3 linked regions of the Arabidopsis thaliana genome follow. The protein of the gene in region 3 purifies or fractionates together with the protein of the main gene of each other region. This does not show direct contact. Each region holds a gene or a part of one and is shown on either strand. Other genes may lie near its edges.

The links.
Region 1: the proteins of UVI4-LIKE (region 3) and PMH1 purify together in Arabidopsis thaliana (affinity purification with mass spectrometry, with the first as the bait; one large-scale study listed by BioGRID). This does not show direct contact.
Region 2: the proteins of UVI4-LIKE (region 3) and APC4 purify together in Arabidopsis thaliana (affinity purification with mass spectrometry, with the first as the bait; one large-scale study listed by BioGRID). This does not show direct contact.

What each region holds. Positions count from the first base shown.
Region 1 is NC_003074.8:7,885,222-7,888,976, reverse strand, and holds the start of PMH1 (putative mitochondrial RNA helicase 1), read right to left. Parts: upstream 1,702-3,755; 5' UTR 1,596-1,701; coding exon 1,167-1,595; intron 1,067-1,166; coding exon 939-1,066; intron 851-938; coding exon 439-850; intron 306-438; coding exon 207-305; intron 105-206; coding exon 1-104. Other genes in the region: RPS10 (ribosomal protein S10), read right to left, coding at 2,364-2,747, 2,899-3,240; AT3G22290 (Endoplasmic reticulum vesicle transporter protein), read right to left, coding at 3,717-3,755.
Region 2 is NC_003075.7:11,448,406-11,452,160, forward strand, and holds the start of APC4 (Transducin/WD40 repeat-like superfamily protein), read left to right. Parts: upstream 1-2,146; 5' UTR 2,147-2,337; coding exon 2,338-2,415; intron 2,416-2,499; coding exon 2,500-2,611; intron 2,612-2,825; coding exon 2,826-2,917; intron 2,918-3,072; coding exon 3,073-3,156; intron 3,157-3,349; coding exon 3,350-3,589; intron 3,590-3,755. Other genes in the region: AT4G21520 (Transducin/WD40 repeat-like superfamily protein), read right to left, coding at 80-132, 348-395, 479-621, 717-823, 921-1,003, 1,097-1,170, 1,266-1,346, 1,444-1,496 and 2 more.
Region 3 is NC_003074.8:21,424,415-21,428,169, forward strand, and holds the start of UVI4-LIKE (UV-B-insensitive 4-like protein), read left to right. Parts: upstream 1-1,870; 5' UTR 1,871-2,001; intron 2,002-2,305; 5' UTR 2,306-2,318; coding exon 2,319-2,663; intron 2,664-3,020; coding exon 3,021-3,407; 3' UTR 3,408-3,755. Other genes in the region: AT3G57850 (uncharacterized protein), read left to right, coding at 1-50, 193-377. UniProt on the Arabidopsis thaliana protein: Negative regulator of the anaphase-promoting complex/cyclosome (APC/C) ubiquitin ligase required for proper mitotic and meiotic progression and cell fate determination. Involved in entry into both meiosis I and meiosis II.

The sequences.
Region 1 (3,755 bases), about 14 Mb from region 3:
TGTAAAGCTTCACATTTATAGCTTTTTGCCAATCCAAATGCAAGGCGATCTGCATCACGTTTTGTTTGGGTAAAGACAATGCATTTTCCTCCTTTGCCATGTTCCTGTAAAGGAGAAGATGTTATAAAATCACGACTGGAAACAAAAATGAAGAATCAAAACAAGATACAGATAATTGGCTTAAAAGCAAAGTAAAGAAAACATACCTTTACAAGAGGACCAATGATGGATGCTCTTCCATAAGAATCTGCAGCGATAGAATACATAGTAATCCCATCTGCAAGTTTCTGATCTGAATCTCCAACCTAAATTACATAAGAGTACATGTGTCATTAAAAAATGTCACTTCATTAACTACACTGCTACAGCCAAGATCAATATTTGCAATTTGTACAGCAATTCTAAGATATAAACACAAGCAGGTATAAGACTACTCACAAGATCAATTGTCAAAGGATTGTTCAGGTACTTCTTGGTGAGAGATCTGATCCAACTTGGCATTGTTGCAGAAAACATCATACTCTGACGCTTCGCTGGCAACTTCTGCAATATTATTTCAACATCTTCCGCAAATCCAACTTGAAGCATCTGATCAGCTTCATCAAGAACCACAAACTGAACCTCTGATAGATTCAAAGCTCCCCTTTTCATCAGATCAATGATACGACCAGGAGTTCCAACCGCCACATCAATACCATAGTTCAGCTCCCTCATTTGTTGCCCGATTGGTGTACCTCCATAGAGACAAATAGTATCCAAACTTGGAGCAGATTCCCTGAACTCTTTCTCAACCTGACGAGCAAGCTCCCTCGTCGGTGCCAAAACCAAGCACTGAGGATTCTTCCCACGACTGTCACATCAAAAGACAACATAAGAACCAAAGGAAGTGCAAATCTCTCAATCACAAATGATCGTTATATATAACAGTAAACACAAACCCATGTTTAGCGTTGAATTTGATGATTTTGTCAATAATAGGAATCCCAAAAGCAAGTGTCTTTCCCGTTCCAGTCCTTGCACGGCCAATCATATCACGACCCTCCATCGCTGGCTCCAACACAGCTTTCTATTCAACCAAACACAAACATCAAAAACTCAGTTAAAAAAATCTAAACTTTTAATTGATCTCTATAACCAAATGGAACAGAGAAGAAGATCATATATACCTGAATAGGAAAGAGTTTCTCAATACCCCTACCCTTCAAAGCTTTAACAATCTCCGGAGATATACCAAGATCAGCTATCGCAAGCCCATCACCACCACCGCTGCTACCAACACTCTCCGAATCTCCAATCCCTCCATCGTTCTCATAAGAAGGAGCATACTCTTGAGCCGCGAATCCCGCAGAAGAAACAATCGACGATCTAAACTCCGACGGTACAGATTTAACATGAAAGTCTCTCACTTTAACACCAAAAGGGCTCGAATTCGAAGGGAGAGACTTGACATTAGTAGCTCCATTTGCTAGATCGGAGACTGTGGCGGCGGCTGGAGCAAGGTTATGAAATAGAGCTGCGTTAATGGAGGTCACCGAAGCGGCGAGAGTACGCCTTGACGTACCAAGGATAGATCGGCGAAGTACTGTGCTAATCATTTTCAGATTTCAGAGAGTGTGATGGATTCTGGTGAAGATGAAATGTGAAACCCCAGAAATGAGAATTAGGGTTTTAGGGAGACGGCAAAAGGGTTTAGAGATTTAAGAAGAAGAATCAAAGGCGGGTATAAAGGGAACTTTGTTATAATCACCTGCGGGTGAGTGTATGGTATGTTCCTACACGTGCAAGCTTGTGTAAGGAAACAGAGTTGATTATTATTTTTTGCTTGAGCCCAAAGGTGTTCTTGAATGTGAAGCAAAGAGTTAATGAGTTCTGTTTTTTGTAACTTTGTGTAGTGTGGCAAATTGGCAATAGCTCAGGTTCGGAATCAGATCTATCAAATTAACCTATACCATATGTCTCAAATCATTAGTGATTATGTACAATGTAAAAGTCTTAGAATTGCCTAATGAATGAATACACCTAAAATGTGAGCTCTTGGATCCTTAAAGTTCGACATCATTCCATGGTCGGGTCAAAGGTTTCTATAACTTCTCAAAATGACACCTTTAGCAGTCTAAATGTGTCTCAATCCTTGGTGATGTATAAAGACTTTGATTGGCTAATGAATAAATGGAAAGCACTGTAACTGAAACTCAATTGTATCTTTCAAAATCGTCCAAAAACACATGTTTATACTAAGCAAGAAAATAACTACTTGATCTGATGTGAAGCAAAGCTGGTTTCATGGATCCGTAAGGTTCGAAATTATTGCATAGTACCCGGTTGGGTCTTGAAACTTCTACAAAATGATGTCTTTAGCCATCTCAGTAAGCATTGGTGGTGGAGCCATTGATGTTGCCTAACACTTGAGTCATATCCAAACGGGTCTTGCAATGGAACTGGAGTTCATATTGAGCTCCAAGAATACGATAACGTTTTAACCAAAACAGCTTCTTGCTCAACTCATGACTCTGAGCTTTGATGACAAGAAACCGTTTCTTGAACCTCATCTCAAACTGTTCTCTAGACTTCTTATCGACGTGAGGCGATCTTAGCACCGTGTACAGAGTTCGTGTATCGGGCATTGCGACTTTACGAGTGTGAGGAGGAAGACACCAAGCTTGCTTTTCCGGGTTAACAAAAGACCGAATCGCTATACAAATCTTTGTTCCTTTTATCTTTGATGTGCTTTCTTCTGCTGCCTCTTTCTACAATTCAACCCCAAACACACAACAACAACAACATAAACAACAGTTCTAAATCATTTCAATGAATTTCACATTCCGATTCCTATTCGAATTTGAATCTGATGAAGCACTTTGAATAATATTCTATGAATTTGAACAAAAATGCATATACCTGGAGAGCGATCTCCTTCCTACTCAATGGTCTGACATTGTCTGGAGAAATTTTAATCTTAGCTTTCTTAATCTCGTTTTTGCGATCCTTTGTGACAGTGGCGTAACCTTGTGACGCGATTCCTGCGGGAACAATCATCGACGGCTCAGATCTAATGTGGATGTTCCTCGCTCTGATGCCAAACGAGTTAGGAGACGACGCGAGAGTGAATCGAGAGCTGACGGAAGCTCCGGTGGTGGCTGGAGTGAGATTGTGCGAAATACACGAATTGAAGGAGGCTAACGCGGCGGAGAGAGTCTGCCTCGACGGGAGTGAAGATCGGCGCAATACTCCGGCGATCATTTTCAGATTCAACGGTGAGACGAAGAAATGACGACGAGAGATTGAAGGAAATCTGAAAAACCCCAAATTAGGGTTTCAGTGAAAGAGTAAGCGAAATCAGAGAGAATTGTGAGGACAGGATCACCTGTGACGAGTGTACGTTATCTTACGGTGAGCTACAGTATAATTTTGTTTTTTTACTGAGACAAGTGAAAAGATGCAAAAATGTTAAAATCCCAGGAAGCAAGGTGAATAAAAATTACAAATTAACTCTACTAGTTTAACCAGAGATAATCAGAGTAATACATAAGAGAGACTCAAAAAAAAACTATATCCATGGATTCTAGAGTTTCTGAGTAATGTAATCATCAATCCTGGAATCTCTGGTGGGTGTTGTTGTCTGAAGAAGGCAGATACAAGTTTTGGGATTTGAGAGATTCTTCTTCCTTCCTTTGGTTTTTTTTGTTTCTCATTGTTTTGTCTCTGTTTCAGCTAGTTTACGCTCTAGTACTCGGCTTCTTGTTGAAAGATTCAAT
Region 2 (3,755 bases), on a different chromosome or scaffold from region 3:
TTCTAGATTATATTGTAAAACAAGTATGAGCTTAGAAACCAAAGACTACCCAAACCAAAATAAAGAAGTAAATACTCACTTATAGACTATTTCAACAGATTTCCGAATATCCCAGCAAAGAATGTAAGGATCCTGAAAAAGAGCAAACAAAAAAGAAACATTTTTTTGGTGAGGTTAGGACAATTCATCATCCTATTACATATCATACTCTAATATTGGACACCAACGAGAATATCTCTGGACAGACGATACTTTCCTCCAAAAAGGGTTATCCTTAAAATGGAAGTCAAGTTGCGATATAATATGCTCAACATTCAGAGGGTAAAATGTTTATAACAGTATGTTACCTTGCGACCTCCTGTATATAAATAGTTCCCATCCTTTGAAAACTGGACCTAAAAGCCACCAAAAATTCGATCAATAATTGGATCATATCCCAATGGACAAAAATAAGGCACATTTAGTGGTCAATGCTTACATGTGTAACACCGCCTTCTTGACCATGTAAAACATACAATAGCTCCATGTTGTCTTCTCTATAAATCCCAGTAGTTTGCCCGTAAGACCCCACAGCCAACATTCCAGAATTAGTTGGGGAGAAAGCAAGAGTAGATAATATACCTGGAAATTATGAACCAGTTAAGGTTGTTCTTGTTTCTGTATAATCTGTAATAATATTGTTATGCAGCGTCTGAGTGGAAAAGAAAGAAAAAAACCTGCTTGGCCCTCTTTGTTTTTCTGTAGAGTTGAATACTGCCTAAAATCTCTTCCAGGACGATGAAGATCAAACACTCTGATGGAGCTGTTGTAACCAGCAAAGATCCTAAAGACATAACACAGGCAAATGAACATAGACCACTTTTAATCAATTCTTTACCGTGTGGGAAGATGGATACAACTTAGATGAAGTTTTTGCTTACTTGGTTCCATCAGGATTGAATCCAACTGAAAATGCAGCAGTTATTTCATCCATAGCATCATAGGCCCGGTATGTGCATCGAAGCTGACATTGTGTTATTCACATGTAAATAAACAAAAAAGGATGGTAGAAAAAATCTCCAGTAAACATGTTAAGTTTCATGGAAAAAATCAGCACCTCACCAGAAGTACTATCCCAAAGATGTATCGGATGGTCTCTAGTGGAGGTAGCGAAGACGCATGTTAAAGGGTCTGATATCAATCAGTGAACAGCCAAAATCAGTAATTCAACTGATGAAATCATTAAGCCAAAAAATTGAACCCCTTATGATGAGCTTATCTATTACCTGAAACTGACATGTATGGATACCAACAGAAATCATAGACAGATTCACCCTCATTCACTAGAAGACTCGCACCATACGAATCTACAATTCCAATAAACACACCATGAATCACAAAATTACTTCACACATATTTTACAGCATTTGCCACAACATACAAATGCTAGATGGAAAAGCTAACCTTCTTCAGGGACTGGCACTCCATAGCCATTAGAATCCCCTCCATCTTGTGGCCTGATGGGGCAAATTTGCAAAACTAAAGATTCAACAGAGAACTAAAACTACACAAACATACAAAATTATTGATACTTAAGCTACAAAAATATTTCAATTGAAATTATTCAACTTACAGATGAAACAGACTAAGTGTATTATCTTCAGAGCTTGCAAGGAAACATGAACCATCAGGTGACCTATATAAGAAACAGTAACAAAATCAGTACCTCAAAAGTTAGGCAAAAAGAAAAAACCAAACTTTGAGAAAGAACAAAACTCTACTCAAGAGATTGATTTGAAACAAGAAGAAAAGGGTACCACTTAAGACCCTTGAGGAAATTATTAGGGTTTCGAGCTGTCCTGAACTGCTTAGAGAAATGGTGCGTTCTATAAGGAGAGACATCAAATCTCATAGTAGGCCAGGATGATTTTTGTTCTCCTGATTCTACCTTAAGTCCACCATTTTCTTCTGCTACTGCTTCTTCTTCACCCATCTTCTTCGTCAGAGCTTCTGGAAAAAAGCAGCAGAGAGAGGTTTACTTTCGTTCTAAACCCCAGTCAAAATCTCCAAAACCTGAACCAGGTTTTCAATCTCAGACCGACAAATTGAACCGAACTTAAACCAAAAACCGGATTAGGGATTTTGATTGGAATTTGGAAGAAAAGCCCGCCAGGTTTGTCATTAGTGCGTCTCTCTCTTCTCCCGGCGGATCGGCGAATCCCGGCGACCACCGTCTTCTTTCCTTTATCCACTCTCTACAGCTTTCTTCTCAAGTGTTTCTCTCTAGTTACTTCCTTCCTACAGCTTTGCTAGATATTGAAAATTAGAATATTAACCCCTAATCCCAAAAACCTCGGAATGTCGGAAATGGCGAGTGACGAGGAAGAAAATATCATTCCTTTCCAGCTCCAGTTCGACAAGCCCATACCTTTTCAGGTTTTGGTTCTACTCCTGCTCAAAGTTCGTGTCTTTTTTATGCTTTTAAGGATTTAGATGTTTATATATGTTCAATTTCATTAGATTAAGATAGCTGAGTGGAACCCGGAGAAGGATTTACTGGCAATGGTTACTGAGGACTCCAAGATTTTGCTGCATCGGTTCAATTGGCAGAGATTATGGACTATTTCGCCTGGTAAAGTTTCTCTCTTTTGTTCACTTTGTTTGATTTAAAGTAGACAATTTTGATTACAAGATGGTTTGTGATTATTGTATTCCTTAACTTTCAGGCTTGATGAAAATTCGTTTGTGGAACTTAGTTATTTGCTGAAATTGAAAGTGGAATGCAATTTGAAGTAGGTTGTCAATAGTTCTGGTACTAAGTGTATTTCCTTTCTTTTGGTTTATAGGAAAGCCTGTTACTTCTTTATGTTGGCGTCCTGATGGCAAAGCCATAGCTGTTGGGCTCGAGGATGGAACCATTTCACTTCACGATGTTGAGGCAAGTATAGATTGAAACTAATCCATGTTTTACATGATGACGTTGTTGATAGCCTAAATATTCCTTTTTAAACTTTGCTGTATAGAAACTAGTATTATGTTTTATTTATAAAGGATCATGCTGATCAAAAAGTTGGTAATACTCTTTTCATGCAGAATGGGAAGCTATTAAGGAACTTGAAGCCCCATGATGTAGCTGTCGTGTGTCTTAACTGGGAGGAGGATGGACAATCCAATACTGTATGTTTTCTCCTCTGACTAGTTGTACAAGAACTCATGTTTGGTTGCGGTATCTATATTTGTGTTGACAAACTGAGAAAGTTTCTTTTACCAATCCCAGTTGAAGCATCTATTCTCTTAGTTTTTTTTTTCACACCCAACTCTTATAGTTATTTGAGCTTGTGCTTACTTTTTCTTAGAGTTTGGTTTACAGGATGAAAGTGGTAATTTCTCAGTTTATGAGGACCGGACCTCCCGTTTTTTTCCTCCTGCTCCAAGACCTCCAAAGATGCCTGGACTGGTAGCTGGTGACTCCAGTTTCATGGATGACGGTGAAGACTCTTTGGCAGAGCTATCCAATACCTCATTCCGGAAGTTTAACATTCTTTGCACTGGTGATCGTGATGGGAACATATGCTTCAGTATATTTGGAATATTTCAGATAGGAAAGATTGTAAGTCGCTCTTTTGACTGTAAGTAATTAGTAAGCCGTAATTATCCATTCATGTATTATGGTTGATGATGCTTCATCATCTTTCCATTCCGCTTGCATATAGAATTGCAGGATGCTTAATGAATTTCAACACTATTTCTACATGGAAATTATTTTCTGAGATCCT
Region 3 (3,755 bases):
ATCGTCGTTGCTCATGAAAGTAGCATTATCTCAAAACGGTGTAGTGATGGGTAAGAATATATTCAAATGGGAATTGTTTCCGAAAATATTTGTATACATCTCAAACGAAAGTGATGTGGACTTGCATTCTAGTTGTTATTTTAACGGAAATTCGATTGATCGTTACCGAGGATTAGTTTTACCGTGGCGTAGGAGATTACTCGTTCAATTCTGGAAAAGGTTTTGGGGAGGAACTCGCTATGTTTGTCAATTTAGATTTGGGAATGAAAGACAAATACGTCATTTTACTATTTATAAAGATAACAGAGATAATATTCACAAATATGAGTGCAGACACTGTTTTTGGACCATCAGAAGGAATGGACCTTGTGCCTTAAATTCACATACTGGAAGATATGACATTTGTTATGCTTGGGATAAATAAACCAGTAATATATTGTTCTTTATATGATGATAATAATTAAAGGGTGATGAACTAATACTGGTTAATTTTCCAGTTGAATGATACAACGTATTTAATATAATCGGACTGTATAATTTTTGAGTCACGGCCGTATCAAATCGGCTAGTTTTGAGGTAACTCAGCAAGTAAGTTAGAAATTTTGCAATTCCGTTGACTGTAAAATTCATGCACCATCATGTTTTGATTCTATATGAGTGAGTAGTATCTTTTTGGCATGTTGTTGGGTTTAGGGATCCTGATCATCATGTCACTCTCCTTTGTTGTACATTTGTTATAGATGAAGGAAAGTACTTTATTGTTTCTTGGGTTTAACATATAAGCCTTGACCCTCTTTCTAGAATAACAAATCAAGTCGCTTTAAGCCTTTAACCTACAATTAGATTTTTTAATGGTAGCATTAACAATAATGTGTGTTTCAATAGAATGCAAAACGGTTATTAGATCATAAACCCCCAAGCTAGCAAGTCAATGTTTTAAGTTAACGCACGGTACGTTACAACTTAACATGGTCTAAACAAATTCATTAACAAGCCTATAAATATATGAATAGAAAACGAACCTCAACGAAACATTGCAAACCATAACATAAAGAAGAGAAAAGATGGCTTCCCATAGAAAACTGATAATGCTTGTGATACTATCCTTGCTTATGAAAGTAGCATTATCTCAAAACGGTGTAGTGATGGGTGAGAATATATTCAAATCGGATTTTTCTTTTGAAAATATATGTATACATCACAAACGATATCGGAGATGGTTTGGTGCTAAATTCTAGTTGTCGTAGTAATGGGAATTATTAAGACCAAGTATTTTTACCGGGGCGTACGACGGAATTCGTTCAGTTTAGGAAAAGTTTACGGGGACTAACTCGTAACGTTTGTATGTTTATATTTGGTCATAAAGCACAACGTATTACTATTTATAAAGATAGCAGAGATAATATTGACAAATATCAGTGCTGAAACTGATTTTGGTCCATCATAGTGTATGGAGCTTGTGCTCTTGATGCACAGACTCGAGAATATGATCTTTGTTATGCTTGGGACTAATAAACATATTATATATGGTGATAAACTGATAATAGTTATATACAAAAAAAATTACTATCTGAACTCATGTTCTTATTATGCAATATGTAACGGTAAGATCTGTGCCGTTGAACGGTTGGATCGGTAAGGCGTAGAGAAACTCAGGTAGGCTTTGATCACAGACAAACTTTACTCGGTTATTTGCATTAGGTTTTACAAGGGTAAAAATGTAATCTCAGAGACAAGGAGACGATTTTTTTAAGCGTTGATCCCGCCTGTGATGCAAAATTTGAAATTTGTTTCGCACACGTGTGAGAGAGCCTTCTACCGCACGTGCCAGTGCCTTCGGATTTGTTTCCTCATTATAATCCCGCTCAGGAGGCGACCTTGAAATATTGCCCAGATCGTCACTCTCCCCAAGAAAGCTCTCTTCTCTCTCTCACTCTCTCTCTCTCATTGTCTCTCTACACAGTTTTGGAGTTTATCAATAGCTTTATTGAAGATTCAAAGGTAAACACAAATCCATGGTGTTTCTTCTTCTATTTGATTGCGTTTATAGACGTTAGGGTGGGGTTTACCGGTGTTCTTGTGACTCGATTTGAAATTGGAATCGGGTGATTTGTGATTTCATTTTGGGATTGTTTGTGATAACCTTTGGTTGTGTTCTCCGTTTCTTGATATATTATTCTGGAAATTTTGGGGTTGATTTTTAAGGAGAAATGAACGATTTGATTTCTGGGTAAAACCCTAGGGTTTCTTCATTCAGTTTTGATGTTTCAGTCTCTAATTGAATCTATGTTGTTGTTTGTTTCAGCGACGTTATCAAAATGCCAGAAGCAAGAGATCGAACCGAGAGGCCTGTGGATTACTCGACTATATTTGCCAACCGACGGAGACATGGTATTTTACTTGACGAGCCAGATTCACGGCTTAGTTTGATTGAATCTCCGGTGAATCCAGATATTGGGTCTATTGGTGGAACGGGCGGGCTTGTGAGAGGCAATTTCACTACATGGAGGCCTGGTAATGGCAGAGGTGGTCACACTCCATTTAGATTGCCACAGGGAAGAGAGAATATGCCCATAGTGACCGCTAGGCGTGGAAGAGGTGGTGGTTTGTTGCCTTCTTGGTATCCAAGAACACCTCTACGCGACATAACTCATATTGTGCGGGTAAATTGACAAGCTCTTTTGTGTTTTCCTGTTGATTCTTCTTTGTATAATCAGTTTTGGTCTGGCATGGGTTTTGCTTTGCAGCTTGGTTAAATGTTTGGGATCTCTCTTGTTTGTGGTGTAGCACATGGAAAATGGTTTCTCTGAGTCTAAGTTTCCCCATTGGTTTTTGTAATCCTTCTTTTGAGCTGAATTAGGAATCTGCTACTGATAGGTTTGGTTTGTTAAAGCGTTTCTGTTTATTATTGATCATAGCAGGCTTGCTTAGCCTATCTGTATAAGTTTTATCACATAGATTTGTTGCCTTAAGGCTTGCTTAGCCTGGCGATTTATTCTGTTGACACTCTTGAACTACAGGCTATTGAGAGAAGAAGAGGAGCTGGGACTGGAGGAGACGATGGCCGAGTTATTGAGATCCCAACTCATCGACAAGTTGGTGTTCTTGAATCTCCAGTACCACTGTCAGGAGAACACAAATGCTCGATGGTCACTCCTGGACCATCTGTGGGATTCAAGCGTAGTTGCCCACCATCAACTGCTAAAGTTCAAAAGATGTTACTTGACATCACTAAAGAGATAGCTGAGGAAGAAGCTGGCTTCATCACACCCGAGAAGAAGCTACTCAATTCTATTGACAAAGTTGAGAAAATTGTGATGGCGGAGATCCAGAAGTTGAAGAGCACTCCTCAAGCTAAAAGGGAAGAGCGGGAGAAGAGGGTGCGGACTTTAATGACTATGCGATGATCTTTACTTAGGAGAAGAGACCAGATGCGATGATCCTTACTTAGGAGAAGAGACCATAGAGGTATATCTGCTTAAAGGTTCCTGCACAGTGAGTACATCATCTTCTTATGATATCATAGATGGATCTACAGGTCATCCTCTAATGACATATCTTCACAAGTTCGGTGGTTTCTTAGACTTGTATCATTTTCTGATGATTTTATTAGAAGCGTCAATCATCTTTTGACGATTTTATAGGATACTCGTTTTGGAAAATCATTGTTCTGATGATAGAATAGATCAGGAATCATCTGCTGATGATGATATCATAGGAAAGATTATAATAGTTCACACATTTCATATCTGAAG